4 linked regions of the Drosophila melanogaster genome follow. The main gene of each other region encodes a partner of the protein of the gene in region 3 in a complex. Each region holds a gene or a part of one and is shown on either strand. Other genes may lie near its edges. The genes, in order: Nfs1, bcn92, IscU and fh.

Region 1 (8,004 bases), on a different chromosome or scaffold from region 3:
CCTCCGCCCACATAAAACAAATCGTGTGCAGCAGCACGTGCCGTGTTGTGCCGTCCGGCCTAGCGGCCTTTTGCTTTCGGAACAAAAGTTCCAATTCCGATTGCGAACGAGCTGCGAATTTCGACAACGGCGACAAGCGATTCGCTCCGGCTGCCCATTAATGGAGAGCTGGGGTCGGTCCACAGGCAACACCACACACACGCGACTTGGCAGGTGGGGACGTGCACCGGTCCGTGGTGGTGGCGGACTTTTTCAGACACGTTCGGTTTTCGGTTCGGTTTCCACCAGGCGACCAGAAAGTTTAGCTGCCTTGCTGGCTCATCGCGCAAACCAGCCGTCGTTCGCTGGGAAACGTCAGCTGCCGCCTACAGTGGGCTGCTTTAAGCGAAATGTGGTTAGAAATGCAAAGCGTACAATGGGCTAGTTCTTATCAAAAAAATTGATTTCTCCACCTTGTCGTTAGCGATAAATTTTTATATGTCGGCTCATAACCACCCATTATCCATTGTTCTTAACCATGCTTTACTATACATTAAAGAAAGAATATATATGATAGGTATTAATTTTTACTATAATTAAAAATTATTATAGTTTTACTAATGATACTAAGAATATTTTCGAAGAAATATAAATTGTGTTATTATTTAGTTTATTTACTTTAATTTGTACTAACATAAGAAACGGTAATTCAGCTTTAAAGTAAGTTGATAGGATTTAAAATCATAGTTTTCAAAGAATTTTAACGTTTTGAGACTTAACTTAACTTAAGTGAAATAACTTTGCACATAAAAACGACTTAATTGCTAAGCATGCCTAATGGTTGTGGCATTGTTAACTTAGATTTGCGATCTGTGAATAGAGGAAAGGTTATAAGGCTATGCACTTTGTACCCGTTGACTTTGAAAGAATGAAGTTCATCTTTTATTTATACTCGTTGGAAAAATTGTGAATAGCAAAAAACAAAATTCAGAGAAAATAAAGGCGAATGAAATTTTATATCAAGAAATTTTAATTAAATGATTATTAATTTACAAATGATTAAATGAACAATTTTCGATATCAAAGCGTTTTTATTTATAAAAGATATTATATGGAAGGGTATTTAATAGTTATATATATTTCTTAGCCCTTTTTTTTGGTATTTTTTGTGTGGTCGCCGTGCGGTCATACTGACCCAATCAGGTGAAAGCGACTTCGGAATTATCGCGCTACAGGGCGATAAGACTGTGACGACTGATTAGTTAACCAGCGGCGATCGGCAAGGTGAAAGTTCACACATCTCCGCTCCAACATGTCAGCAAAGGCAGTGTCCAAGTCCAGCAAACCAGGCGCTTCCAAGGAGCCGTCGGCGGTCACTAAATTGTACCTGTTTGCGTACAACGCCGGCCAGGTGGTCGGATGGAGCTACATCCTGTGGCAGCTGGTCAACTACTACATATTGCAGGGTCCGGAGTTCCGTGCCCAGGTGACGTTGTGGGAGTATACTCGGCTGGCCGTGATCATCTTCCAGAATGCCGCGTTCGTGGAGATACTCAATGCTTCTTTTGGATTGGTCAAGTCGAACCCGGTGGTCACTGGCTTCCAGGTGTTCAGCCGCATGATGGTGGTCGTCGGCGTGGTGATGGCCACGCCTACTGGAAAGGTTTCACCCGGTCTGCCCATCGCCCTGCTGGCCTGGGCCATCACTGAGATCATCCGATATGGATATTACGCTCTGAACATCGTCAAGGTGGTGCCGCATTTTGTGGTGTTCCTGCGCTACACCACATTCATTGTCCTGTATCCCATCGGCGTGACTGGGGAGCTGCTGTGCTTCTGGTGGGCCCAGAGCTATGCCCGTGAGAACAGCGTGTGGAGTGTGGTGATGCCCAACAAGTGGAACGCCACCTTCTCGTATTTTGGATTCCTGTGGATCGTCATGCTCGGCTACATCCCCATCTTCCCGCAGTTGTACTTGCACATGTTCGCCCAGCGCCGTAAGATCCTGGGCGGTGGATCCAGCGGCTCACCCCAGAAGAAGGCCAACTGAACCTTGACCAGCGGCGAATGCAAATTATTGCATCATTTGCATATCATTGGCCGTCGCACTTTGAGCCGTTTTCGCTTTTTGGGGTCTCTCTTGCCTCACCTCTTACACAAGCACATTCGTTCGGACTAAGCTTAGTTATAAGTGGTTTTGTGTACAAATAAACCTAGATACTCTTCCAACAAATTTATTTTCCCTTCGCTTTCAAAGTGTGGTGTAACAGTAACGGCTTAAATATTAGTACATTAATGCTGCGACCATTGGATGGTCTTTAGGTCGATGCCCTCTTGGACCATCTCCCACAGCGGCGACATCTCGCGCAGTCGCTCCACATGCTTGATGCACTTATCGGCGGTGTAGTCCACCTCCTCGACGGTGGTAAAGCGCCCGATGCCAAAGCGTATGGAGCTGTGGGCAAGATCCTCGTCGGTGCCGATGGCACGCAGAACATAGGAGGGCTCCAGGGAGGCGGAGGTGCAGGCGGACCCACTGCTCAGGGCCACGTCCTTAAGAGCCATCAGTAGTGACTCGCCCTCGACATAGGCAAACGACAAATTCAGGCAACCATTGTATGTGGCTTTGGCATCACCATTCCTGATGACATGCGGCAAGGCACTTGAAATCCTGTCCAGCAGGCGATTGGATAGAAAGTCCACCCATTTCTTGTCGTAGTCCATCTCACGCAAAGAAAGTTCCGCAGCAGCTCCCAATCCCACGGCGAGCGGGGCTGGAACCGTTCCGCTCCTTAGGCCACGCTCCTGGCCGCCGCCACTTTGGATGGGCTCGAGGCGAACCCTCGGCCTTCGTCGGACATACAGGGCGCCTACACCCTTTGGGCCGTAGATTTTGTGGCCGGATATAGACATCAGGTCAATGTTCATGGCGTTAACGTCCAGCGGGACCTTTCCCACCGCCTGAGCGGCATCCGTGTGAAAGAATACTCGGCGAGACCGGCACAGTTTGCCAATCTCATCGACGGGTTGCCGTACGCCGATTTCGTTATTCACCGTCATAATGGACACCAGCGAGGTCTCCGATGTGATGGTTTCCTCCAGTTGCTGGAGGTCGATGAGTCCGTTGGCCAGCACTGGCAGGTACGTGACTTTAAAGCCCTCGTTCTCTAAAGCACGACAAGAGTCCAGCACGCACTTGTGCTCCGTCTGGGTGGTGATCACGTGTCGCTTCTTAGTGCCGTAGAAACGGGCAACACCCTTTACTGCGATATTATTCGACTCGGTGGCGCCGGATGTGAAGATGATCTCCTTGGGATCGGCGCCAATCAGGGTGGCCACCTGCTCGCGGGCCTTTTCTACAGCGGACTCTGTTTCCCAACCGTAGGCGTGGGTACGGGAGTGGGGATTTCCGTAGAAATTGGTCAGATAGGGGAGCATAGCGTCCAATACACGTGGGTCCATTGGAGTGGTGGCCTGGGCATCCAGGTAAAGTGGTCTACCCTCGGTCTGTTCGTTCTTTATGTTGAATCGCACCTGTCTCTCCCGGAATTCTACGAACGAATACGATTTTGGTAAGCGGTAACTGTGCATCTTGGAGGATCCGCTTACCTTTGGATGTGGCGGCTGGTTTAGCCGCTGTCCTGGAGGAGGTGGCCTCGTGTCTAACCACATTGGCTAATGCATTCGTCGCCCGGGAGCGGAGGACCTGCGCCTGGATGCGTCCCAGCACTTTTTGCATTCTGATGGAATCCTAGAAATTCTGGTGTTAAAATTCGTTATCACGGATTTCACAATCAGTGGGACCGTATTCGGCGGCACGAGATATACCAAAGGACTCCGGAATTCACTTTAAAATTATCTGATTCGATTATGCAGAAGCAAGTTTCTGAATTTCTTTGAACATATGAAAAATGAATAGCATCTGTGCAAGAAACCAATATTTTTCAGATATATTCGCACTTAATGTATAATTTACAAGGAACTATATTTTCAAAAACCAGTTTTCATCTTAAATATGTTTGCTTACAAAATTATCTTAATCATTCAGCGAACTTAAGTTACGAATTCACGAAATTGCGCGCATAGGCACGGTATATTTTTCTCAGTGAGCCATAAAATACTCAAAGAATACTCAATACGCAAAGTAAGACAATTATAAACAAAAGTACAAAAGTTGAAGCAGTTTTGAAATAATAAATATAGGAAATAGGCAAAAATTAAAATCAAATTTAAATATGGTTGTCTGCCGGTTCTTTCAACAAGGCTCCTGCCGCTATGGCGCAAAGTGCAACAACGAGCATTTCGATGTTAAGTGAGTACATTGATATTAAAACTATGCAGATGAACTAATAACTTAATTATTTTAGGCAATATCTCAAAGCCGACATGGAATCCAGCCTCAATGGCAAGATGTGGCCTTTGTCCGCCTACGGACCCTTTAAGGACAAAGCGAATTTCCCCAACTTTATTCAGGACCAATCCTTCGAGGAGGTGCGGTTCATGTGTTACGAGGCCAAACGACAAAACCAATTCGAACAGTTCAGCCAACAGTTTAACCGTGAGGTCCTAGAGGCTAACAACAAGATGAAGACCATGCTTCAGATGTCGCCGCAGGTCCTGGAAATGATGATCAAGATCCACGAGACGCCGGAGGGCGGCACTGTGTCGGCTGCCCCTCAGCAGTCCAGTAATCCCTTCGCTGCAGCAGCTCCGGCTGCCGCCAATACATCTGCATCCATTTTTGGAAAGCCCACGCTGAGTGCGGGAAATATATTTGGGAATGCCACAAGCCAAGCCAGCAACACCAATAGCATTTTCGGCGGAACGATTAGCAATGCCAATGCAAGGAATAGCATTTTTGGTGTAGGAGCTGCGGCAACAGGTGCACAAAGTGTCTTTGGACAGCCACAGCAGCAACAGCTGCAGCCTGCTGCACAAGCTTTCCAAGGGGGCAACATTTTCGCCCAGGCGCAGGTTCAGGTGCAAGCTCAGCCAGTGAATCCTAATCCTTTCGGTGGTTTCCAACAGCAGCAGCAGCAACCGCAGTCGACGGGAATCTTTGGCCAAGCCGCAAGCCAAAATATGGGCGGAATGTTTACTCAGGCTTCTCAGCAACTACAACAGCAGCAGCAGGCAGCTGCCTCCGGATTATTTGCTCAAGCAGCAGCATCTGCATTCCCTAATCAACAACAGATGCAGCAGCAGCAACAGATGCAGCAGCAGCAACAGATGCAACAGCAACAAATGCATCAGCAGCAGCAGATGCAATAGCAACAAATGCAGCAGCAACAACAATTTCAAATGCAACAGCAACAGCAAATGATGCAGCAGCAGCAGCAGCAGCAAGCTCAACCGACCAACGAAATCCAGTCCTCAGTTTACAGTCGCATGGAGGATCTCAACGAGCAGGAAATCGAAGCATTCAAGGCGGATCAATTTCTACCAGGTGCCTTGCCATTCAAACCGCCTCCACGGAATCTTTGCTGAACCAAACACTTAATGGTACACTAGCGTATAATGTATATATTTTTACAGAAGCTGATATAATAAAATAATTAGAACTTATAAGCTAATGCATCATCATATTGAGTCGTTCCATGTTTATGGAGTAGACGGCATGCGAGCCTATCAGGTTGCGATCCCGTAAGGCCAGTTGGCAGTCCTTGAGGGTGATTACTGTGCGTTCGGTGGGTTGGCTGAAAGAAACAAAACCTAAGTTTGTGTTTCACATGAAAATCTCATTATTATTCAGGAGCTTACACTTCTTCGCAGGCGGAGAGGAAGGTCACATCGTCGTTCTGTCGCCGCATAAAGTTGGCCGTATTCAGTTCCTTGTCCAGTTCCAGCGGCGTGTCGTCGACCTTCTGCCGGGTGACGGTGTTGCGCAGCGAAGGATCACGCAACGGAGCACCTACATCGTAGTAAAAGTTTCCCTCGCCGCTGGTCTTGTAGTGCTTTCGTTTCTTGATGATTGCCGATAGTAGATCCTTGAGCAGAACTTGCACGGCCATGGCAACGTACTCGGCGACATTGTCGTCCACGGAGACAAGTCCGATTTCCCAGGCACCGATCAGAAATCGTCCCATAATGAATCCCGCGTCGGGCAGGAAAAGTTCCTGCGCGCAGTACCGCTGCGACTGAAGCTGTTGCTGTTGCTGGTCCGACGGAATACCGATCGTGGTTGGCGGACGAATGATTTGCATGTTGTCCTCGGCTACAAAGTCCAGGACGTCGCTGAGCTCAAAATTAAGGCGTTCGGCGAAGGTGCGGCAACTTCTTTTGCGCCGTTTGCTTCGGTTGCCACTACTGCTGCTGGTCTGGACGGCCGGAGGATTCTCCAGGGGAGCAAAGGCGTCGATCTTGTTGAGCAGGGCGAGCAGGAACTGATTGTGCAGGTGCAGTTTGTCAGGTGTTAGGATTTTCCGCGACTCCGCATCGAATTCCTCCTTAGTCCAACGGCTCCGAAACCAATTCTTCATGTTGGCCCGGTAACGCTCCCAGTTGTCGCCCAGAGCCACCACTAGCGCCTCCTTGGTGGCCAGAACTCTGTCGGTAAGCATTTTAGTATTGGGAATAACAACTAAACAGGAAAATCCAACTGTTTGCGAATTGCTATATAAACAAATGAATGCAGCTGATTCGAGTGACCGTTCAAAGAACGGCTGAAAATACCAGATACATTTGAGATAAAAACCGTTATTTTTGAAGAACCCTTTAAAAAAATATTGGTTTTAATCTTTAGTGTTCACAGTTTTTATTGTGTACAAGTTAGTTAGTTAAAATATAAACATTAAAGATAGAGCCCACGCCATTCACACAACATAAGATGATAATATTTGCGAAGCTATTTGATCATTAAAAAAGTAATAGAATAGAATAAATATCTTGGTTAATGTTAAAAAATTTAACATAATTTAACATAAATTGTCAATACAATGAGTATTGTATATAAATGCTACGCATAAGAACATACTTAATATTGAAGGTAAACATTACACTGAAAATAACTATGGTTACATAAATATGGTATCGGATTTAGAAGGATAAGGAAAATTCTTTTAGCCTAGAAACACTCATCCTAATTGACGCGATCCCATCGCCACACGGTGCTGTCGTCGCACACGCAAACTAAAATGGAACCGTCTTTGGAGAAGGAAGTCTGTCGGATGGTGGAGTTGCTTTTGGGATGAACCAGCTGGCTACACTTTGTTAAATTGGGATCATTGCAGTCCAATTCCCAGACAAATGTTGTGCCCAGTTGATTGCCCAAGGCCAGAATCTTTTGCCAGGCGTTGAAGGCGAAGCGTACGAACCAGATTTCCGTAGAAATTGGTCAGATAGGGGAGCATAGCGTCCAATACACGTGGGTCCATTGGAGTGGTGGCCTGGGCATCCAGGTAAAGTGGTCTACCCTCGGTCTGTTCGTTCTTTATGTTGAATCGCACCTGTCTCTCCCGGAATTCTACGAACGAATACGATTTTGGTAAGCGGTAACTGTGCATCTTGGAGGATCCGCTTACCTTTGGATGTGGCGGCTGGTTTAGCCGCTGTCCTGGAGGAGGTGGCCTCGTGTCTAACCACATTGGCTAATGCATTCGTCGCCCGGGAGCGGAGGACCTGCGCCTGGATGCGTCCCAGCACTTTTTGCATTCTGATGGAATCCTAGAAATTCTGGTGTTAAAATTCGTTATCACGGATTTCACAATCAGTGGGACCGTATTCGGCGGCACGAGATATACCAAAGGACTCCGGAATTCACTTTAAAATTATCTGATTCGATTATGCAGAAGCAAGTTTCTGAATTTCTTTGAACATATGAAAAATGAATAGCATCTGTGCAAGAAACCAATATTTTTCAGATATATTCGCACTTAATGTATAATTTACAAGGAACTATATTTTCAAAAACCAGTTTTCATCTTAAATATGTTTGCTTACAAAATTATCTTAATCATTCAGCGAACTTAAGTTACGAATTCACGAAATTGCGCGCATAGGCACGGTATATTTTTCTCAGTGAGCCAT
Region 2 (7,711 bases), on a different chromosome or scaffold from region 3:
TACACTACGAAGCACTATATTTAGTAGCAGTACTCATTAGAGTCCACTCACAAAATTAGCACCAACCGGCAGTAATTGGTCAAGGATCGGCGATAGCTTCAAACTCCGAAGTTCAAAGTCAAACTGCCGCCCTGCGAAAGCTTCGCGAGTGGAGCTTTTCTGCACTTATCGATAGCTAACATTGTGGCGCGACTATCGATCGACGAGCTGCCGCTTAACAGTGCCATATATAGATTGTAACATTAGAAGCTCAAATCATTGTTGGAGCACAAACCACAAAGAACACACGAAACATGAGCGGGTGAGTAGAGGGAAATTCTCTTTTCCCCGGAGTTTTCCGCGATCCTAACGTCGCCCATTTCCGGATTTCTTCCAGACAAGCGGATATTGCCCTCATCGGCCTGGCCGTCATGGGCCAAAACCTGATACTCAACATGGACGAGAAGGGATTCGTGGTGTGCGCCTACAACCGCACGGTGGCCAAGGTCAAGGAGTTCCTCGCCAATGAGGCTAAGGACACCAAAGTGATTGGAGCCGACTCGCTCGAGGACATGGTCTCCAAGCTGAAGAGCCCCCGGAAGGTCATGCTGCTGGTCAAGGGTGAGTTGCATATCCAAATTCAGCGGCTGGGTAGCGCAGAGCATCGAAAACCCATTGAAACCTGCTGCAAGCGATCGCTGTGTTGGTGACTCAACTTACATGTGTGCGCGCGTGCTTGTGAATTGGTGAAAAAGTCGAAGCAAAGTAATCATGATGACGATTTTTGCGGCTCATATTCCAATGTGCAAAGGGGAACGAGATAGGATAAGCAGGTGGAAGTAGGAAGAGGAGGGAGCGCGAGAAAACGGTGAAGGGGTGGAGTAAACACAAAAAACAACTGTTTAGAGATCATTGAGCTGCGGCCTTAACCACTAAGTCTGGGTTAGGAGTTCTTTTTGTACAAATGATAGGGATGGCATTTCGTAGGTTTTGTATGCGATAGTTTTGACTTGAAAACTAGACAGAATTCAAAGCTCTTTATAGGATTCGAAACTTAAGCATTGTAGCTCTTTTAAAACCGGACTTCTGATAAAAGGTTTATAAATGGATCAGTCCCATTTCGAAAACCGTAACCACAAGTGTGGCGTGAGTTTTGTCTAATCACATAGTTGTGGTAAGCTGCCTCCACTTACCTAAACCATCGAGCGAACCCATCAGGTGATTTCCAGGTCACTCACGCGTTCGTCTACCACTCTCGCGTGTCCGAAACTCTGCTCACCTCTAGATCGGCGTGCCCGGCTTATCTGTTCGTGCGAAAGCAACAACAACGCGGCGCAGAGAGAAATCTTTGACATTCATAATAGGTCACACAAAATGGGCGATTTTCAGGTGGATTTACTCGGATTTGACCAGCCGAAAAACCTACATATTCCTCTTCTGCGAGTTGCCAGGCCAGTGAGTCATTTCGTCTGGAGACTGCTCCTTAGAAGAATACAGTGCGGGTCAATAACATATGTACATAGCTCTGGAGGTTTTTGTGCTGAACATATGTAGATTTGAAAGTTGCGTGACAGGTTGTGCGAATCCCACATTCACAGGGTGGGTGGGAGTAAGGACAAAGGTTATTGATTATCAGTGTAGTTAAGTTATCAAGGATGACGACACAAAAAGCTAGTTGGTCATTGAACAGAGCGAGTCCAACAATCTTGACCGCTAGTGTGCCCCACAAACCACCACCAACGACCGCTAGATAGATAGATCAATGGTAGTATCGCCACGACTCGTTGGCCTTATCTGGGTCCACTGCGCTGGAGAACTGCTCACCCGGCGCTAGGGACGCCTCGCCACCAGGGTGACCTCCAAAACAGTGACTTTCCAAAAGCAACCAACCGACCTTGTCCAATCGCACGCTCTACTTTCTGGCTAAATCGAAGATTTCTTTACGTTAAAAGAACTGGCGCTAGCTAAGAACGCTTTGGAAAATGAGTCTACGATAGTTGAGCTTTTGAGAACCCCGATGAGGAATTCGATCTGCTTTAATCGACTTTACGCTAATCAGATGTAATCTCGATACAATTTCAGCTGGAAGTGCAGTCGACGACTTCATCCAGCAGCTGGTGCCGCTGCTTTCCGCCGGCGATGTGATCATCGATGGTGGCAACTCGGAGTATCAGGACACATCTCGCCGCTGCGACGAGTTAGCCAAACTTGGCCTGCTCTTCGTCGGATCCGGCGTGAGCGGTGGCGAGGAGGGCGCCCGCCACGGACCCTCGCTGATGCCCGGCGGACACGAGGCCGCGTGGCCCCTTATCCAACCCATCTTCCAGGCGATCTGCGCCAAGGCCGACGGTGAACCCTGCTGCGAGTGGGTGGGCGATGGAGGCGCCGGTCACTTCGTCAAGATGGTGCACAACGGCATCGAATACGGTGACATGCAGCTGATCTGCGAGGCGTACCACATCATGCAGAGCCTGGGACTGTCGGCTGACCAGATGGCAGACGAGTTCGGCAAGTGGAACTCGGCCGAACTGGACTCCTTCCTCATTGAAATCACGCGTGATATTCTTAAGTACAAGGACGGCAAAGGTTATCTGCTGGAGCGGATTCGCGATACCGCCGGCCAGAAGGGCACGGGCAAGTGGACGGCAATCGCTGCTCTGCAGTATGGAGTGCCTGTGACGCTAATTGGCGAGGCGGTCTTCTCGCGATGCCTGTCTGCCCTGAAGGACGAGCGCGTCCAGGCCAGCAGCGTGCTGAAGGGACCCTCGACCAAGGCGCAAGTGGCCAACCTCACCAAGTTCCTCGACGACATCAAGCACGCTCTCTACTGCGCCAAGATCGTGTCCTACGCCCAGGGATTCATGCTCATGCGAGAGGCGGCCAGGGAGAACAAGTGGAGACTTAATTACGGCGGCATTGCGCTGATGTGGCGCGGCGGCTGCATCATCCGCAGCGTCTTTCTGGGCAACATTAAGGACGCGTATACGTCGCAGCCGGAGCTGTCTAATCTGCTGCTGGACGACTTCTTCAAGAAGGCCATCGAGCGCGGCCAGGACTCGTGGCGCGAGGTGGTGGCCAATGCCTTCCGCTGGGGCATTCCCGTGCCGGCCCTGTCTACCGCCCTAAGCTTCTACGACGGCTACCGCACGGCCAAGCTGCCAGCCAACTTGCTGCAGGCCCAGAGGGATTACTTCGGCGCCCACACCTATGAGCTGCTGGGCCAGGAGGGTCAGTTCCACCACACGAACTGGACAGGCACCGGCGGCAATGTGTCCGCCAGCACCTACCAGGCGTAGGTTCCACCTGCTCCACTTTCCCGTTCACACATTCCATGTCATTGGCGCCGGTGTCTTAGATGTTTCTTTTTTTTCTGGAGTACTTTAGTACTTATTTATACCATTAATATATATGTATGTATATAGAATTTCATAATTGTTGTTAAACATAACATTAAATTGGTGTTTTTTTGCTAGCAAATGATTTTGATTCCTTAGTTTCATGAATGCAAGTGCCATTTAAAATCAACAATGCGTGTGGTTTGGTGTGTTGTGTTGTGTGTGGGTCGAGTCTTTCGAGTTGTGTCTTCATCTGGAGACGCCTCCTGCTCCTTCTACCGCTCCTTCCCTGCTATTGTACTCTCTTCAGCTAGCGCGTTTTTCGCTCCGTATTTCCCTTAGTCGTCCGAGGGCTTCAGGGTCTTCTTGTTCTCTATAACCAGTTTGTCAGCGGAATACAGGTGGCCGATGATTACCTGTGGACATTCAAAGGTTAATAAACTCAACCGGCTGATAAGCGAAAAAGGGGCAAAATGGTTACTTTCGATTTCTAATAGGATGGTAATTGAGTTTTCCATTCCCCATATTTGCAAAATCAGATATATATGATAAAATCTACTTTAAATATACATTAATATTTTTAATCTTTAAATTGATTGTCTTTGATAAGGGAAGTAGTAGTTGATAGTAGTATTTTTATACCACTAATTATTTGAGTTCCTAACAACTTGGTAAATAAACGACGGCTCTTTTTGGATGCGCTGTGATCTCGAAGACGGAATGCCTTACGTTATCTGGATACTTTCAAGCATTGCTGATAAGGGAGAGGGGTGAAATCCGACGAACCACTCACCTGGCGACGTATCAGCTCCAGATTCTGTTGGCCCTCGGCCATTTGGCGATCGATCTCCGCGAAGTCCCTGGTGCTCCTGTTGGCGCGGAATGTGTCGCGTATTTTTCGGGCAGCGTACATTCTGAAATCCGGAATAGATTGCTCATCACTCGCGGCGGCCTTTCAATTTCACAACACCTACCTGAAGTTGTACGAGGGCAGCTTCTCCGATTCGCGCAGGAGATTCCTGTATAACGTGATCGCCTGGCGACGGGTCGACATCCTGGTCTTGATCCTGGCCGAATGGAACTGAATGGCGGGCGGGCTGGTGGATTAAAGTGCTGTTTAATTGATGAGTGCTTTGTTTTGACCCTGGTTTCTTGTTTCGGTGCGGCAACTGCCAATTGACCGCCTGATGACATAAAAATTACATGCGGAAAGCCGGAAAATACTGACTTTTCCGCTGCAAAATACCAGAAACAGCTGACTGCATTCACTGTGGTGTCACGTGCGTGAGTCTTAGAGATGACACTGCGTCGTGCGGAAATCATCGCAACTGAATAAAAAAACTATTTTTGTGATACTAAATATTATTGCAAAAAGTAAGAAATAAATTGAGTTCATAGTGCAGAAAAATAATTTATTAAGAATCCGAAATATTTAGAGGTAAATATTAAAATAAAAACCAAATTAACCTGCTCCCATTATACAAAATAAGACAACTGCCGCATTTTTTCAATTTTAGTTTTAATTCTGTTTGTTTTTTCCGCAAGAACAATATATTATGTACTCGTTGAAAACACAAAATAAATATATATATTTTGTTCCCGAAATTGTTTCTTTCTTGCACGCGCGCTTGCTTTTTAAATCTGACTTTTGTAGCCTAAAAATGACATTTTTAGTGGTTGTAAACGTACACATATATCCATATACATATATATATTTATTTATCAGTGTTAGTTTTATAAGTAGAGTTTCTTTAGCTTACGTTTAGGCAATAAAATAACTTTATTTCCCACATCTAATCTAGAATTTTCCTCTCTAACTCTCTCTTTACACATGTCTATCGCTCTCGCTCTTTCTGCTGCAGCGTTTTTGCTAAGAGCGCTTGTTTTACAATCAATAAAAAAAAGGTTTAATATATAAAGTATGAATAGGTAAAAAAAAAACACATTCGAAATAAACCTAAGACGCGTCCGATAAAATCGCTGATTAAAGAATATTTACATGGGTGTGTGCTTTCGAGGGTAAGCCGACATTTAGCTGCTAATATTGCTTATGACTATATAACGTACTCATATTAGTGGGGATTTGGATCTTTGTGTTGTTCGGGGTGTCGCTTTCGTTTCGTCAATCTTAATCATTTTCTTTAGTTAAAACGCAGACCATGCTCAGGAATTCGCTATCACTTTGGGTTAATACAAACGCAAAAACAGATCGCATTGTATCCTATCGCTCTTAGCTATATACTTCTATATATATATATATCTATATATATATAGCTGACTGAAACTAGGTGCATTACAGGCTATACACATACATGTAGTGATTGTTATATCAACACATAAACAAATTACATAATCACAAACAACAGAATTTTATTTTGGTGGCAGGCTTTCGGTGTGGTTAACGACAATTGCGATGGCTCTTCGATTCCGATTCAGATCCCAGGTCCGATTACCTGTGGCTGCTGTACGTTTTATAGACCCGCGGCGCCCTCGTCGTTCCTGTGGCCGATGTGGATGAGGGTGCGGAGCCAGAGCCGACCGTGGTCGAGCTTGTAGCAGCATGCGACGCGTCCGCTCCCACGGCCAAGACTTGCGCCGTCGTTTCCAGATTCAGAGGCAGGGGGTTGTCGTGCTCATCCGAGTGCTCGTAGATGTAGTCGCGCTTCTTAAAGTTGTCGATGATGCGCTTCGTGGACTTCATATGCGCCACAAAGGCTGCCTCCAACTATACAAATGGTGGAGAACGTTAACGAGTTAGAAGGTTGTGCAGTTTGATGGATTAAGGGTAAGATGGATTAAGCTATCGATCTGAACTGAAAATGTATGACATATTATGAGACTCACGCTGGATGTAAGGTTCATGAATGTGTGGTACTTCTCCAGCACTCCAATAATCTCCTTAAAGCTATTTCCTCGCAGCTGGCGGCGCACCACCGACTCGTACAACTCGTTGTCCGCTATCAGATTTCCCACCAGGATGGCCGCATAACTTCCCTTTAGCGTGTGCTCCATGTGGTGGCCGGCTCGTTGCACAACTGTCAAAACCGCCCGGCAATTAGCATAGGTCACAGATCATCAAACCGCTAAATACTCACGATTGTTGACTGTCTCCTCCACTTCTTCTTGTTTCTTCTTTCCCTTCTCGTTGCTCTCGAGGAAGGCGTCCGTGTTCTTTTCCACCAATCTGCGGGCGTGAAACATAATATAAAGCAATGCGACAATGTGACTAGAATTGTTAATGTGTCCTACCTAGCCAGCTCCTCGCACTTGTAGAAGTACTCAAGCAGAGCTTGCAGTGCACTCACAGATCCCTGCGCTGGTGGATTATCCGCTACGTACTCTGCCGGAGCGGCAGCTTGCATTAGAGCAGCCCGGTTGGGCACAGTATGCATGCACAAATTGATTAGCAGTGTAAGAACCTGGAGAGGTGGGAATCAGTGTTTGAAATTGGTTACTTGTGAAGCGAAAAGATATAAATCTCACACTCACCAGTATGCTTAGCTCAAAGACACATTGGTCGGGAATGTAGTTGGCCGAGAGCAGCAGCAATCGGAAGCTCGTCTCCACCACATCGCCCCTTTGACCTAGCAGCTCGGCTCCCAACGATGGCTGCGCCTCGTTGAACGTGTGCGTCAGGTTGATCAGTACCTTGAGCACCGGCACCAGCAGCTCGCGCATAGCCACACCCGGATGCTCCTTGTTGCTGCCACCACCATCCGAAGGATGCAGCATTATTTGTCGGCTGCAAAGACGGTACAGTTGGCAAAGCGTCTCCACTGCTTTTCCCTGGCCAGAGGTGAGCATGTAGCGCTGGTTCGTCTCATTGTGCTGCGTCACGTTTTCGAGGACTCGCAGACAACGCGCCACCGTTTGCATGTTATCCAGCAGCGTCGGCTGCCAGTCAATCTCCGTGTCGCAGGCAATCACCGGTCTGCAGAAGTCCGAGATGGTCTTGATAATGTGCTCCAGGCCACCCAGCTTGCGCAGATCCTCTTTAAACCACTCGCCCGCGCGCTTGGATGTTAGCGATAGCAGCGTTTCCATTGCCAGCGTGCCCACAGTCAGAGAATCAACGTTGAGATGCGTTCCCTTGCCCTGCGCCTTGATCTCCTCGCACAACTCGCGCACCTTCTGCTTGTTGCGGTCGTAGCCCGCTCTATCCGGGTGCCCAGTCTCCGTGCTGCCACCCACGCCGTCCGCCTCCAGAAGGTTGATCATCAGCTCCAAGGAGTCGCGATCCAGGTCCATGTTGAGGCCCTCCTGGGAAAGAATGTACATGATGGCCGAGGTGCACAGGCCTAGGCTGAGGTCCTTGTTGGCGTCGGATAATGCCTACAGTTAAATAGTCAGTTAATTAACAAAGAGGTTGATACTTTTCCTAAAACTTTTTTTTTTGT
Region 3 (7,867 bases):
CAAATGTTCAATATTGGTAAAACAAATTAAATCTACCTGTTTTTGATTACTACCTACCTACTAGAGTTGTTACATCTGCCGTTATAAGAAAACAAAGTACGCGGCAATTTGAAATTGAATATAATACGACAGCTGGCATTTTGGAATGGATTTCGGCCTAAATCCGGATTATAGTTATCTTATGTAAATAAATATTCAATTTGTTTTAGTTTGGCGCATAAGCGGTTGTTTTTGTATATCATTATATGAATAGTTAATAAAAATTGTGCATGTAAATTCAATAGATTAAGTGCACGTAAAATGAGAGCATTACGTTTGCAATTAAAAATTAAGCCATTAAACACGAAATTGAATCAATTAAAGAATGTCATCTTCTCCATATTCGGATTACTGTCTTAATTTTAATGGTTGAAGCTCAAATTGAATTCAACGCCCTTGCTATTTTTGTGTTTTTGGCAAATAAATTAGTGTTACACAATCTTTTTAAAAGAGAAGATAAATGTGATATTACATTTTATTGAACAGGATCAGTTGCACATATCTTTTGAAATCAGCCGAAGTAGCTGAATAACACAAGTAATTACCTTATACAAATTCAATGCATCAAGAAATCTGACACAATGGGGTATAGTGGGATGCCCCGTCAAGAGGATAAATAAAATAAAATAGGATGATGAGAACCGCTTACAACCGGCGACGCGTGTCACTCAAAACCCGCCCATGCTCAGATCCAGCCTGATCAAACCCATTATCTATCCAAATTGCTGCGACAGCATCGTCATTATCATCTCGTTGACCCACCATTGTTATCCCCCGTTGGGTTACCCATATAAACAAGTGCACTTTATGTTTACTTGCTTGTTTTTAATACACACCGATCCGCGATTGTGTGGGTTGAGGTGAGAGATACGATTCCTATCACACTTACTTATATGTGTCGCCGGTTTGCCCATTTATACATATATTCTGCGGCTGTGTCTGTGCTGCTTTTCTATTGTTCATGAGTCCGGCTTTGTATATAAAGGTGATCAATCTCGCAGTCTAAAATTCAGTTCACTTCAAACGCGACTCGAAGCCGGTTTTTGCGAAAGTCAAATCTTTTTTATTCTAGTTGTGATTTCGTGGAAATTTCGATTATTATTCAAAATGCGTTTCGCTCTGTTTGCTTTTCTAGGTACATAAAAACAACTCTTTCCATTAGCATCTATAAAAAATACAAAGGGTATAGTTAGTTTAGGGATCGAAAATAAACAAAATTATAAATACAATTTTGGATCAAACGAAGCAATTTGTTGTATGATTGGAAAGTGCAAAAATAATTGGCTATCCATTAAGACCAAAAGCCCAAATGAATGATCTCACGGACAGAATTATATTCCGATCTACAAAAATATAATTTGCTCCGAACGGTGATGCAATTAAATTAAATAAAGTACTAATACATATTTATCTAGTTTTCATTTAAACAAACATAATTGAGCGGGCTTAAGAATTTTAACATGACCAAACTTATTTAGCACTGTGCTTGCTGGCATTCGTCCTGGCTACTCCGGCCAAGGACACCAAGAAGCCGGCCACCAACAGTTGCCAGCACAACTGCGGTGAAGTCTACGAGCCCGTTTGTGCCAAGGCCAAAAACAGCAGCAAGGAGCGCCTCCTCACCTTTGGCAGCCCGTGCGTCATGGCCAACTACAACTGCCAGCATGCCGACGATCGTAAGAGATCCTCTACAATATCCTTACAGAATTAAATATGATTTAATCCTTTTGCAGCATTCGAGCAGAAGTCCAAGGGCGAGTGCGGCGGTGGAGTGAGCGTTCGCCTGTCCTAGAAGTCCAATTTCAACACTTTTGACGATTAAACATCTTTCACTGATTGTGCAATAATATATTCATGTATTTTTTATTCCAACGGGAACGCTTTATTTGTTTTCGACACAAGCTTGTATTTCGCATAACAGAACGGAAAATTTAATTAGCTCTCGGGACTACTTAGAATTCCCCTACAAAACACACACGTGCATATGCATTCATACAAGATCAGTTCCAGCTATCCTTTAGTATCAATGACAGACGATTCCTAAACTTCTATGCACTTATCAGCAGTCACGCGGCCAATCTGCAATCAAAATCAAAGCATTAATCAGTTGGTATGATTATTATTGTTATTATTTCAGTAAAAGTGTGTTAAGAGCAACTAGCCAATAGGCAATAAACGAGGATTATTTTGCATTGTCATACATATTATTAAAAAATATGTATGTAGTTCCTCTTAACCACCATTCACTGTATCCATACCATTTGACTCACCACTCACAGAGCTCTAGCGAACAATAATCGCATACTACGACCTAATGCCAAGTAATATATAGTATATGGTATTGTATTGTATGGTAGAGTACTTATAGTTGTTTTTTTTTTAGTAGTTGTTCAGAGAAACGCTCCACTACATTCACAGATTCCGTTCCGCCTCTCAGTTGGCCACCTTCTTCTGCTGCTTGACCTTGTAGTCAGCCAGGGCCGCCTTGATGGCATCCTCGGCCAGCATGGAGCAATGCAGCTTGACGGGCGGCAGACGCAGCTCCTTGGCGATGTCCGTATTCTTCAGCTTTCCGGCCTCGTCGATGGACTTGCCCTTCACCCACTCGGTGGCCAGGGAGCTGCTGGCAATGGCCGATCCACAGCCGAAGGTCTTGAACTTGGCGTCCACTATCTTGCCGTTCTCGTCCACCTTGATCTGCAGTTTCATCACATCGCCGCAGGCTGGTGCTCCGACCAAGCCGGTGCCCACAGTGACATCCTTCTTGTCCAAAGATCCCACGTTGCGCGGGTTTTCGTAGTGCTCAACGACCTGTGGGTGAAAATAGGTAGGTGTGTTAGTCACCAGGGGGTTGTGCTATCGCGCTTATCACTTTGCGTGCCGCCTGAAACGCTGTCTTTCAGAACGACAACAAAGTCGTTTCTTATCTATATTATACAGCTTCTAGATATTACGAAAGAACCTTCCGCGCGGCAATTGCGAGTTCTAACTTACATTTTCATGATACAATGCCACCGGGACACTTTGTACGCGCTTCAGCTGCGATCGCAGCAACCGGGAGGAGTTTCGCACCAGGGACATATTTAAATTAAATAAATCAATTTAATGAAGAATTGTTGTGAAATTCAAAGAGATCGAAAAAACACAGGCAACTGCGTGTTAGAAACAGCTGATGGACAGTGTGCCCGTTTTAAGGCAGATGTGAAAGACCAGCTAACGCCGTTGTCGATATGTTTTCGATTTTTTAAAAGATTTCTTATATTATTATTATTTACTCCTTAAAAACAGTTCAGTATAATAAGTTATTTACTATAAGTAATAAATTGTTTTTATCAATAATGAGCCATAAAAAAGCTTGAATAAAGCACCCTCTTGCATTTAAAATCACACTCTGAGTTGGCAGCTTGCCAGGTATTTTGTAAACTCACTCCTATGGTCACTCCCCAATCACAAAGTTTACTATTGCCCATCCACAAATTCTGCCAACTTCCGATATATTTTTACAGCAGCAGACTATGAGTTTCTGAAACTAGTCCCCTAGGTCAATAATATCCACATCCAGTCATGACCTCTCGCAAGCGCAGTGGCAGCGGCTCCACCAAGCGGCCCAAGGAGAAGGTTCGCCCGGAGCACTGGATTTCACGAGCTCCGCCCTCGAAGATTTGTGCTTTGCTTGACTAATTGGAATTTATTGCAGGTGGTCTATATATATGAGCTGTTGTGCCGGGGCGAGGATCCCAGCAGCGAGAGTCCCGAATTTTGGAACGAGTTCTTCCTGCTGCAGCCGAACTTCGAGGCGCTGGAGAATGAGATTGGCAAACTCAACAACGAGCAGCTGCAGCTGGTGAAACCGAACCTGAACACCCTCTTCCAGAGGTGCATCGAAATGCTTGACACGGGTAGACCAGTTTGACCTATTAATATATACCTCCAGCCACCTATAATCCGTGATTTCCCCCAGAAGATCATCCTAAGCGGCTGTGCAACAGCCTACACACGCTGTGCTCCCTGTTCTACGGGATCTTTAAGAAGTCCAACGCAGAACCAACATTAAACATCCTAAACGAGATCTTCGGCCATGAGAAGATGGACGAATGGCTGAAGCTACTCATGCAGTACTGCAATCGCATCCTCCTGGGCGATGTGCCCGAAAACGCTCGATTTATGTGCCTCAAACTGCTGCAGGTTCTGGTTACGGGCACGGATAACGTCAACCAGAACGCCCTCTTCGAGCATCTAATGATGCACAGCATGTTCGACGCCTTTGTTCGGCTACTCAGTGATCCTACGTTCCGTAGCCAGCATGGACACGACATCGTTATCCTACTTACTATCCTGGTCAACTATCGCAAGCATGAAGCCACTAACCCCTATGTGGTGCAGCTCTCCATACTCGCTGATGAGCTGGCTTTAAATGGGTGAGTCCATTTAGTCAATGTAATGTATGTATGTATATTTCTGGCAACTTATGTGAAAGCAATTGGCTTAAAGAATTTATAATCGAGGGTAATCAAATATTTAAACTGAATCACAAAGTTCTTTTATGTGGCAGCAGTTGGTGACTGACGTCATCAAACAGATAACTTGCCACGAGCTTGCATATCTTATTTCGATAGTAACCCGAACTTTATCTTGATTCCAGCTATGGCCAAATGATATCGCAATCGCTAATTGATTTCTGTCGCCAGTACATTCAGAGCCTTAACAATGTGCAATCCTCTTCCTGGTTTTCGTCGCTGTCGAATATTGTGGGCAACATGTTTGTGTCGGATGAAGGATGCGAACGGGTGCAGCAGATCAAGGCGAATAATGGCCTTCTACTTGCCCTCTACGAGGCAGTGCACCTGAATCGGAACTTCATCACAACTCTGGCTCACACGCAGGCAGAGTCCAGTGCCCCGCCCTCGCCCAGTAACACATTGAGTCTGGCCCAACCTGTGCCGGATCTATCTAATGCACCCATCATTGACATTACGCAGTATCCCACCAATCTGCTGGTGGCCGTATTTCAGTACTGTTCCATCGTGATGCAGGACAATAAGAACGAATCGAGCATTGCTAATCTGAAGCTGTGTTTCCTCATCCTCACCTGCATTTCCGAGGACCAGTACGCCAACTCCATGATGCACGACAGCAATCTTACCTTCAAAGTCATGCTGCATCGGGCGCAGATGCGTCATCGCAAGCTGAATGTGGATCGGGTGGGCAAGTCCCAGCCTTTGGCTGCCACTCTACTGGACCTCCTGGTGGAGTTCATTGTATCGCATTTGATGAAAAAGTTCCCGATGGAGCTGTATCTGCTCTGCATTGGAGTTATCCATCGAATCTTGTGCTATCAAAAGAGATGTAGAGTGCGGCTCAATTATCCGTGGAAGGAACTTTGGTCGGCTCTCATTGGTCTTCTGCGGTTCTTGGTCAACCAAGAACAGACGCTGGTTAAAAAGTGCAACATTTTTCATCTGTCGCTACAGGTGGTGAATATATTTAATCTGTTTATTACGTACGGTGATACTTTCCTGGCCACAACAAATAGCTATGATGAGCTCTACTACGAACTGAACCGCGAGGAGAAGGTATTTACGGAAATACATGCCATGGGTAAGGTTGTTAAGATTCTATCTGTAGAAACAAAATTAATCATTTTCAAATTAGTTCTTCGCTATACAACGATGCCGGACTGCGAATACAAAGACGATGTAATCAAGCTCTTAAACGCTTTGGTAAATATCCTGGCCATTGTTAAGCACTTTCAGAACAAGATCAAGGAATGGCTGGCCGAACAAGGCCTCTCTACGCCCACGGAGGAGCAGATACTCGACGTGGTGCGCAAGAACTACGACCTAACGCTCAAACTGCAGGACTCCCTGGACCAATACGAACGTTACACAGAAACGCCGCTGCACACCAACTTCTTTAAGTTGATGGTTCGCGATGTTGTCAACGATACGCGCAAGCACATCTACGGCTATGTGAAGGAGGCAGTATCTGTTATTCCGGACCAGGAAATTCTCCTCAGTTCCTCTATGACATCCGTTTCGGCCGGTACAGCCACTCCGGCTTCAGCAACAGCAGTGCCAGAAGCAAAAGCGTTGCCTTCTTTTGCTTAGTTTTGTAATTATATTTTAAATATTCAAATCTCTGGATGCGTAAACTCGATGTAATCTATAAGATTTAAAGTGCTTTGCGAGACTTTTATAGCTAAAACAGTGCACTTAAAGCAAAAACATATTCTGTGCAAGTTTTTTACACAAGTATACAAAATATATAAATATTACGTGTATATAAAATCAAACCAGATCACCTCTTACGAAGTCATAAACCATTGGCGACTTATTTAACCATGGGGGTAGAACTCAAGTTTTTTAATATCGATCTGTTAAATGTCGATATTTGTCACTATGTGGAATGTCGTCCACCTCCTTACCTATATAAGATGATTTAGGCAATATGATTATTATTGTTGCTCTTTTATTTATTCCCAAACTTTCCACGTGTGTATAATCTTTAATTCAAAAATGCGTATAAATATTTATAAAGTATGATTTCTTTCTGGTTATACAGGCGTGTGTGTATAGGCTCTAAGGATATCGCTACGATTTATAAATGGTATATATGTTTAACTTTAGCATGCAATACTTGCACGCATTTAACAATTTGAATGCAATTAAAATTGATCATGGGTCGAAGCAATATGCGAATATCTAATAAAATGTCGAATATATCATTTAAAATGCGTTAAATATATGAATACATTTAAAATACATAGTAATTGGATGATTTAAAATATACAAAATAATTTGTGTATGAAATTAAATTCTAGTCGCTTTATACAAGTATCCATTGCATTCGATTGATTAATTTCTAGCTCGATATAATAGTTCAGAGGCAGAGCCAAACGATCACTTAAAGGCACAATTAACAGACAATATCGAATTAAATTTATTATATTATATAAGCAATGCCTATACTACCTCTTTGCTCAGCTCATTTCGTCTGCCCTGGAATTGCGGCCCTAAGACTACACATATGATACTACGGATCTATTTACAATTTCGTATATCGTTCAAGTTGGCTGGTGAATGGTAGTGCTATGAATCTTAATGATTAGAAGTGATCCACCTTGACGGAGACCGTGTGAGCGGCGGCATTGCTGGGCAGGTCGATGTTGTCCCACTCGGTGTGCAGATTCTTCTCGCTATCGGTCGCCTTGAGGGCCAGTCCCAGTGATGCAGTTCGTCCGGCGCAGTGGGGTATGTTGAGCGTAACCGGTACGAGGAACTCGAGGCCCTGCGGCCCGCACATCACCAACGGTGACAGCATTGTCTCACCTACGAAGGCAAATAACAAGGCCATTAGTAGGAGTTATTTATAATTTCTTCTTACAAATGCAAATATAGTTGTGTTTAATAGAGTGTGGTGGTACATCGTGTGGGGTTATAGGAAGTGGGTAAGTGGACACAGGCATAGACTCCACTCGGTTGGAAACACAAACGATTCGTGCAAAAGCAAAATTTTATCTTTGGATAAAATATTGAAAATAGATTAGAGGTAAGGTGAGACACAATGTATAGAGGTAGGTCTAAAAATGTATATGATATTACATGCACCAAGCAAAACTACAAGTTAGTATATATCGCATAAAATCTAAAACTAATGTTTAAACCACAGCAAATTACCAGCCACCATTTCCAAAGGTTAAGTACGTAAAACATAAGGGTTGTTAACAATAACACAAAACAATGCTGTAATAAAAACAAAATCAAGAGGTTTGTGGTAGTGGCAGTGGTTTTGGTGGATGGATACAATACGAAGTAGAGTGGGTTTTTGT
Region 4 (7,721 bases), on a different chromosome or scaffold from region 3:
TGCAGTCAGGTGCGGGATAGCTTTCATTTCGATGAGTGTGCCGGATCAGATTTTTCCGAAGAAGCTCAGCGCGTGATCCGCGAACTCAAACCGGATGAGTCCATCAAGAGCAGCATGAAGAAGAACGTCGACGGAACCGGGGATAGCAACAAGCAGCATGATGATGGAAATATAATTGCCTTGGATGCCATATCCAGTGATGATGAGAGCTTTGGCGGTTCAACAGCTTCGGTTGTCCCGGTGCCAAAGGGGCGACAGAAGAATAATCTGTCGGAAGATGCCGGCGGGCGTAGTAAAAATCAATCGCCACCACCTGCAGGTGGCGTGAACAAAACGCAGCATTTGCCCACGCCCAAGGAGCTGGCCATTCAGGCATCTAAAATTTCCCAGGAGCGCTACAAGTGGGAGAAGTTCCGTTGCATGCTGGAAATACAGCTCAAGCAGCTGCGCAGTGATACAGAGATGTACGAATCAAATCCCGAGAAACATCCCGATTATCCGGATGAGTGGAAACAGTTCTGGAATCGACGCTACAAGCAGCTGCAGGAGGAGAAGAAATGCGATCCGAATCAATACGACTATAAGCCGGAGTGGATTAGCTACTGGAAAGATCGTCGCATCGTACTGTTCGACATTGCGGTGAATAAAATAAAGAAAGATCTCAAAGAGAAGTTCAAGCTGGGCGACGAGGACGAAGAGAAGACCTTGGAGCTAATGGAGCGCTACAAGATCCGTGTGGCCAGTCCGCGTAGAGCGCCTGCCACCACCAATTCCGACAATTGTCGCAAAACGAAGCCGAATTTTCGCAACAATCGTCCGATTGTTGCGACAAGCAAACTACCCGACGCCGTCATCGATATCAGCGATGATGATGTTGATAGTCCTCCATCTCGTAGTCGTCACTCCCACAAACGCCGCTCCATCTCTCGTTCGTTGTCCCCCAAGCGCGGCGGACGTCGTGCCGTGCGTCGCTCACGCAGTCGTTCGCCGCGTCGCAGCTATAATCGAGGATCTACGCGCTCGCGTTCGCGCAGCATGCGACACCGGTCTCGCTCGCCGGCCCACTATCGTGGCCGCGGTCGTGGTCGTGAACCAGCATCCAAAGAGCGCGGCTCGTCGTCCAGGGATTTCGGTGGTCGTCACAGTTTGCAGCGTGAGCGCGAACGCTCTTCCGAGTACTATCACCGCAACGAGGGCTATGCTCGATCATCGCGCGGCTATGAGTCTGTGGAGACGTTCCGCGTGCTGGATTCCCGCGTATATCCCGAGTACAAAGTGACCAAGACGAGCTCGATTTCGCCCACCGCTTCGTCCAACAAGGAGAAGGAGAAGGAGGCATCGGAGCCCATTGAGGAGGGACCACTGACTGTCGTTAGTGTCTTGCGCATGCTGTCCGCCGTCGAGGAGCATCTGGGCAGCCTGGGACCCAAGGCGCTCAATTTGCTTAGCAAGGCACTGGCCATGGAGTTGGTAAAGCCAAATGCAGCTGAAGATTTGCTGCGAAACGAAGACAACTGTGTGTTCCTCGAGACCACAAAGGAGAAGCTTAAGGGCATTCTCATTGCCGAGGTACTGGACGATCCGCAAAAGGTGCGCGTGATCAAGAAACTAATCACGAACATAGCCGAAATCATCTATCAGGCGACCTTCAAAGGTAAGTCCACCACCAAACCCGCTCAATCCGTATCCGTCTCTCTCGCTCTTTTTCGCGGTCGCGGTTAGAAATCAGGAGGTAAGTAAACCAAACAAATCAAATCAAAAAAAGGGTTACCCATCGGAACAATCGTTCGTTTTTCGCGCGTTTTCAACGGCTTTTTATGCAAAGTTGCAGAGTTTATTGTGAGTTTTGTGCCATTCGGTGGAATACCTTTAGATTCTTCATTCGAAATATTTCTATTCTCCTTTTTCGAAAGGAACCTTTTTTATGTGCTGGTGATAAAGAAATATATACATATGTACATTAGATACTCCCCACTTTAGTCTACTAAACTCTGCGGTTAAACATTTAGTTACGTTTTAAGTTTAGCACCTTATGAAATAAAGAATCTTTGACTTTGGCTGTTGTATGAATTGGGATCACAATCTCATTTCACATTTCTTCTTTCTCACTAAAACATAAACGAAATCTTCTGAGCGAGTATTTTTGAAATAATACAAAATAGCGCTGTGTTTTATTACCATTTTAAACAATATTATAAGTATACATATATATATATAAAGCGTGTTCTGAATTGCTGGTCTTGTCTCTGCAATTCGTAGGATTTTTCGAATTTAAGAAACCTATTTTTAAGACCTTTACTTTGGGTTCAAAAAGGGTTAAATTGATATTAAAAAGACCTGCTTGCAATGAGAAACATAAATGGTCATAAGGTCTTCCTTCTATGTTGTATTTATGATAATATAGTAATTATATCGTATATTTGGATAGACTCTTTGGTCGAATCGCTGGTGATATCGTTCCTAATCGTTTTTCGGTAAGCTTTCCCTTATTTTTGCTGGGTGTGTGAATCAAGTGTAAAGAAACCAACCGTGAGCTGTCCAATCGCCATCCACACCATCCATAAGTATAAATGTAATTTGCGTAGCTTCGTGCGATAACGATCCTCCATCTGCCGGGATCTGAAACAGAAACACACTCTCACCTGTTAATCCTAACTGATTGATTTCTTTGTGTTGTTCCCTCCCCAAACCACCCGTAACCGGATGATCTCTAGGTACCAACGATGCCGTCGATGTCAAGGTTAAGGCAAATGCCAATCCGGCGCCCATACAGCTGCCCTTCGATCGCAATTTGGTGGCGCCCAAATTGGCCAATGCTTTGGTACTCAACGGCTACAATAATGTGTCCACCGGCGATATGAACAACTTGCTACACATGCTAACGCTGCTGATGAAGACGGACAAACAGCGGCGCCAGCTGGACAACAACAACGGCCTGAAATTCGAGGAGATAAAGGTAAAGCTCGGACTGCAAAATAATCCGTCGCCCGATGACATGGGCATCGATCTGGACGAGCTGATGAAGGAGGTGGAGCATCAGCTGCACAAGGAGTCCGTCGATATTGTGAATAAACCTACGGGAGCACCGGCCAAGGTACAAGCCGCCGATACAGTCGGTGGCAGCACTGGCTTGGAATCGCTAACAGATTCAGATCTCCAGACCCTACTCCAGAACTTTAAGTTTTTGTCGAACGAGGAGCAGGTTCATCTCATTGGCCATCTGCGCAAGTTGGAGGTACAGGATCCGTCGCGCGTCGATCGTCTGCGCAAGTATGTGAATCTGGTGGAGCTCCGAGGCGATGGCGAGTCCTGCAGTGATTTCCTGGCGCGCGTGGTGAAAATTGGTGGGGCTAGCAAGGCGAAACCGGCTACCAAGTTCAAGGCTTCGGTTATGGGTGGTAGAACCTCCTCCGCCATGGCCGCCAGCTCCGCCAGTGCCACGGCTCCGAAAGTGGGTCACTCCATGCTGAGCGCTCAGCGCCCCAATTTGGATCGTGATATGTCCAGTATGCCCATCAATAAGCAGAGACGCGGCCGGAACACGCCCAGTATCATGCTCGATGACGATGACGAGGAAGATGATGATTACAACTTTGATGATTTGGTGATGAAGGCCTGCGATTCGAATGGAAGTGCTAGTGCTGGTGGTGGTGGTGGTGTCGTTGGTGCTGGTGTACACAATAAGCCAGGAGTGCCGCCCATTATAGGCGTTGAATCATCGCCAAATGCGCTCACTTTCAAGCCAGCAGCAGCGACCAAGATTTCGCTAAAAGACACCGAGAACATCATAGCCAATCTAATGGGCACTTTAAGCAAGAATGGCACTTCTGGAGGTTCACCCGTGGGTGGCAATCGCAACTATATGATGAACCAGCAGCATGGAGCGCCAAATGCGCAGAATGCACCGAATTTGGGTCAGAATCCAGGCCAAAATCTTGGCCAAAAGCAGCCCGGAGCGGGCTATTCCAATGCGGGCTATCCAGGGCAACAGCAGCAGCAGCAGCAGCAGCAGCAGCATGGCCGCAACTTTGGCCAGGAGGCACAGCCACTGATGAGCGGCTTGAGCGGCGGACCGAATGCCAATCACTATCCAAATCAGCAGGGCTACGGCGGCTATCATCCGTTTGCGGGCAATGGCGTGCAGCAGAACTACGGCGGCATGGTGCCACCAGGTCCAGGTGGCTACGTGGGTCCGCCCCCTAATCCGTGGGCCAGCAATGTGCCGCCACAGCCGCCCTTCAACCAGATGCCCCAGAACTTTATGGGTGCCCAGCAGCAGCAGCAGCAGCAGCAGCCGCACTTTAACAACATGTTCGGTGGACGTCACTAGAGTGTCGTAGACTTAGATATCCATACTATTAACGTTATGCAATTTAAACGTAATGTAGAAACGAGAATAACGCCCTTTGAAGTGCCCGTGTATCTGCTAGCTGGCAAGTGATTTTTATTATTTTTTTTTTTACCATACATGTGTGCTGCTGCCAAAAAAAAGAAAAGAAAATAATCACTACCTTCATTTGTTTATAAAACACCGAACAACAATAGAATTCAGAAAACATAAATCTGAAGAGCACGTGAATAAACATACACAATAATTCCGGAAATCAACTTTAATCGACTTTCGTTTGGAATTATTAGCTGGGGGAGCTTTGAGTTCTGAATTCTGTGTATTGAAATAAAAATAAACGAAATGGAACGTACAAGTGACAAATAATAAAATAAAATAAAATATGTATAGCTACATATGATGTTCTTCAATGGTGATTTGATTATTATTATTTGATTTATACATTAAACAACTGATTTTTAAGTTTATTCCTCTCAAAAACAACAAATTTAAACTTCGAAACCAAAACTAATCGTACATAAATGAATAAGCGAATGCAAAGCATTTATACCAGAAGCTAAGCTTCACAGCTCCAGGGAAGTATAAGTATATACCTTTGCTCATCCGCAGCAGCAGCAGTTCCATGTATATCGAGTGACCACTGTGCCAACAGATGAAGAACAATAAATATATCAAAATCGAACGTTTCAACCGACTTTTTATGGAGGAGAATTTAAACTAATCACGGAATTAACTACAGTAGGGCAGGCGTAGGAAGTCCACGGACTGTGACTTCAGTATGCCGGGTATCTCCTGCTGCAACAGTTCGTGCAGCGACTGACCACTGTGCTTGTAGATCCATCTGCCCGCCGCCACAGTGCCGACGAAATCGTATCGCTTGGGACCGCTGGTGGGCGAACTGAGCCAGATCTGCTTGTTGGGCGTCTGCCGGTTGATCACATAGGTGCCGTGTTGTCCTCCCAGGTTCACGGTTAGCACGCCATCCTGTGGAAGCGGAAACCCCGCGAGGATTAGCAGGTCAATGGAATGATGTAATAGCCGAATGTCACCTACGCTGTAAGCCACATCCGTGCCCTGCAGCTCGGAGGCGTTCTCCGTCAGCTCCTCGAAGTAGTCGCACAGTGCGTCCAGGGTGTCGGAGCACACACGCTCGTAGGTGGCGCCGTCCAATGTGGATTCCGTCTCAATTTGACTGCTAAACAATCGCCGGTTGGCAGTGAATTCCTCGCATTGAATAGCAACTGCGGCTATCGCTGGTGTGCTGGGCAGGATCACTTGGCTGGCGTGTGCTTGGGGCTTTGACCACCTGCCCATGGTGGCCAAGCATGCCCGACCAACGATCGAACGGACCATCAAACGACCGGCAAACATTTTTTAGTTGTTTACGATTTGTTTATATTTTACAAATCCCAGTTGCGGGGCTGCCAACTTAATGGAAAATGATTTGCCGTTGGTATTTTCTAGATTCTAGTGTGGTATAATTTTTGATTTCTATAAAGCTGAATAAAAATGAGAAGTTACAGATTTTTTTTATTAGTAGCAGCAATTCAGCTAAAGTGTTCTGCTAGTTTTAGGTAACTAAAATTTTGTATATTCTCTAGCAGTTACTATTTCCTTATCATATATATTCCGCTATATATACCAATTCCCGGCTTATATGATTTTTCTTAGAATCAGATACGGCCACACCTCCACCAACGCCGACAGAAAATGGCGTCTGTCTGAAAATTGTTATTTCTCTTGGAAAATCCATACAAATTTGACCAGCGAATTGCACAAAGATGGCCCTGCCAAGCAACTACAAGCAGATAGCCGTTGGCGGCCAGGGATCGGCCACACCACTCCAGGGCGGCGGCGGTGGCTCCGGCGGCGGCAGCCGGTCGCGTTCATCCGGCGGCGGAGGTGGTGGCGATCGCAACAAGGATCAGACGCCCATCTTCACGCACAGCAACTATGGGAATCCGGCATTCACGCCACAGAAGGTAACCAAGTCGTCGAGCAGCAAGAACCAGAACGAATCAAGGCTACCCAAGCCACCAAAGCCGCCGGAGAAGCCCATTTTGCCCTACATGCGGTATTCGAAACGCGTCTGGGATAGCGTCAAGGCGAAGCATCCAGAGCTGAAGCTGTGGGAGCTGGGTAAGAAGATCGGTGCCATGTGGAAGTTGCTGCCCGAGGATGAGAAGACGGAGTTCATTGACGAATACGAGGCGGAGAAGCTGGAGTACGAGAAATCGCTAAAGGCCTACCACCAGACGCCCGCCTATCAGGCCTACATGTCGGCCAAGAGCAAGGTGAAGACCGACGTGGATATGCATGAGACACCGTCACGCGGTGGCGGCAGTAAGTCGCAGCATGAGCGACGCATCGACATTCAGCCGGCGGAGGACGAGGATGACCAGGACGAAGGGTATACGACCAAGCACTTGGCCTACGCCCGCTATCTGCACAACCATCGCCTGATTAACGAGATATTCTCGGAGGCCGTTGTACCAGATGTGCGTTCAGTGGTGACCACCACGCGGATGCAGGTGCTCAAGCGGCAGGTCAGCTCGTTGACGATGCACCAGACCAAACTTGAGGCGGAACTGCAGCAGATGGAGGAGAAGTTCGAGGCCAAGAAGCAGCGCATGGTGGAGTCCAGCGAAGCCTTCCAGGAGGAGCTAAAGCGCCACTGCAAGCCGGCGGTCGACGAGGAAACTTTCCAGAAGATGGTGCTTCGCATGTACGAGGACATCAAGCGCGATCGCCAGCGATTGGATGAACCGAATGCGAATGCGAATAGCGCAGCGAATCCTGCTGCAGCTGCCGCTACAGCTGCCGCCGCTCCAGTGACGAGGAGCGAGGAGGCAGTGAAGCCGCCAACGCAGCCAGGTCAGCCCGCTGCCACACCCGCTGGCCAAGAGCCGGCGTCGGCGGTACCAGCGCCAGCAGCTCCGCCCAAGGAGACACCGCCGGCTGTGAAGCCCGCTACACTCAATCCCACACCGAGTTCAACGCCTACGCCGGCGCCAGCGGTGCACGTGCACGAAACTGCCAGCAAAACGGATCCCGAGCCCATGGACATTGAGCCACCGCCGAAGCCATCGGTTCCGCCGCCACCCATCAAGCCAGAGAAGCTGGAGATGGCCGCTGCCCTGCCTCCGCAGTCAACGCTAGTCGAGCCACCCAAAACGGAACCCGCCAAAGTGGTGGCCCAGCCCGGCAAGGTGCCCACACCGGTGCCGACACCCACACCGCCGCCTGAGGTGGCTCCAGCGGCCGGAGCAGCTACTGCAGCGACCACAACAACGACGACGACACCAACGCCACCGCCGGTGCCACAACAGGTGCCACTGCCGCAGCAACAGGGCGGGCCAGCTCCACCGCCCGG

Evidence for each region.
Region 1: IscU (region 3) and Nfs1 share a complex: the UniProt entries of both Drosophila melanogaster proteins name them as parts of the mitochondrial core iron-sulfur cluster (ISC) assembly complex.
Region 2: IscU (region 3) and bcn92 share a complex: the UniProt entries of both Drosophila melanogaster proteins name them as parts of the mitochondrial core iron-sulfur cluster (ISC) assembly complex.
Region 4: IscU (region 3) and fh share a complex: the UniProt entries of both Drosophila melanogaster proteins name them as parts of the mitochondrial core iron-sulfur cluster (ISC) assembly complex.

The regions. Positions count from the first base shown.
Region 1 is NT_033779.5:11,995,439-12,003,442, reverse strand, and holds Nfs1 (Nfs1 cysteine desulfurase), read right to left. Parts: upstream 3,790-8,004; 5' UTR 3,719-3,789; coding exon 3,589-3,718; intron 3,531-3,588; coding exon 2,272-3,530; 3' UTR 2,199-2,271; downstream 1-2,198. Other genes in the region: Hacd1 (3-hydroxyacyl-CoA dehydratase 1), read left to right, coding at 1,292-2,029; Ada1-1 (transcriptional adaptor 1-1), read right to left, coding at 5,549-5,675, 5,740-6,539; Qtzl (quetzalcoatl), read right to left, coding at 7,200-7,441, 7,500-7,629. UniProt on the Drosophila melanogaster protein: Catalyzes the removal of elemental sulfur from cysteine to produce alanine. It supplies the inorganic sulfur for iron-sulfur (Fe-S) clusters.
Region 2 is NC_004354.4:2,145,114-2,152,824, forward strand, and holds bcn92 (bcn92), read right to left. Parts: upstream 4,535-7,711; 5' UTR 4,369-4,534; coding exon 4,289-4,368; intron 4,229-4,288; coding exon 4,108-4,228; intron 3,731-4,107; coding exon 3,653-3,730; 3' UTR 3,350-3,652; downstream 1-3,349. Other genes in the region: Pgd (phosphogluconate dehydrogenase), read left to right, coding at 294-301, 377-600, 2,062-3,275; wapl (wings apart-like), read right to left, coding at 5,764-6,039, 6,159-6,349, 6,410-6,498, 6,564-6,733, 6,804-7,646. UniProt on the Drosophila melanogaster protein: Stabilizing factor of the core iron-sulfur cluster (ISC) assembly complex that regulates the stability and cysteine desulfurase activity of Nfs1 and participates in the [2Fe-2S] clusters assembly on the scaffolding protein IscU.
Region 3 is NT_033777.3:8,820,952-8,828,818, forward strand, and holds IscU (Iron-sulfur cluster assembly enzyme), read right to left. Parts: upstream 3,227-7,867; 5' UTR 3,121-3,226; coding exon 3,034-3,120; intron 2,851-3,033; coding exon 2,473-2,850; 3' UTR 2,310-2,472; intron 2,119-2,309; 3' UTR 1,898-2,118; downstream 1-1,897. Other genes in the region: CG8369 (uncharacterized protein), read left to right, coding at 1,147-1,174, 1,518-1,715, 1,773-1,831; CG8379 (uncharacterized protein), read left to right, coding at 3,604-3,657, 3,737-3,938, 4,001-4,457, 4,682-5,637, 5,692-6,146; pyd (polychaetoid), read right to left, coding at 7,144-7,367. UniProt on the Drosophila melanogaster protein: Scaffold protein for the de novo synthesis of iron-sulfur (Fe-S) clusters within mitochondria, which is required for maturation of both mitochondrial and cytoplasmic [2Fe-2S] and [4Fe-4S] proteins.
Region 4 is NC_004354.4:9,143,294-9,151,014, forward strand, and holds fh (frataxin), read right to left. Parts: upstream 5,779-7,721; 5' UTR 5,720-5,778; coding exon 5,402-5,719; intron 5,333-5,401; coding exon 5,078-5,332; 3' UTR 4,787-5,077; downstream 1-4,786. Other genes in the region: CG7065 (uncharacterized protein), read left to right, coding at 1-1,654, 2,715-4,330; Bap111 (brahma associated protein 111kD), read left to right, coding at 6,130-7,721. UniProt on the Drosophila melanogaster protein: Promotes the biosynthesis of heme as well as the assembly and repair of iron-sulfur clusters by delivering Fe(2+) to proteins involved in these pathways.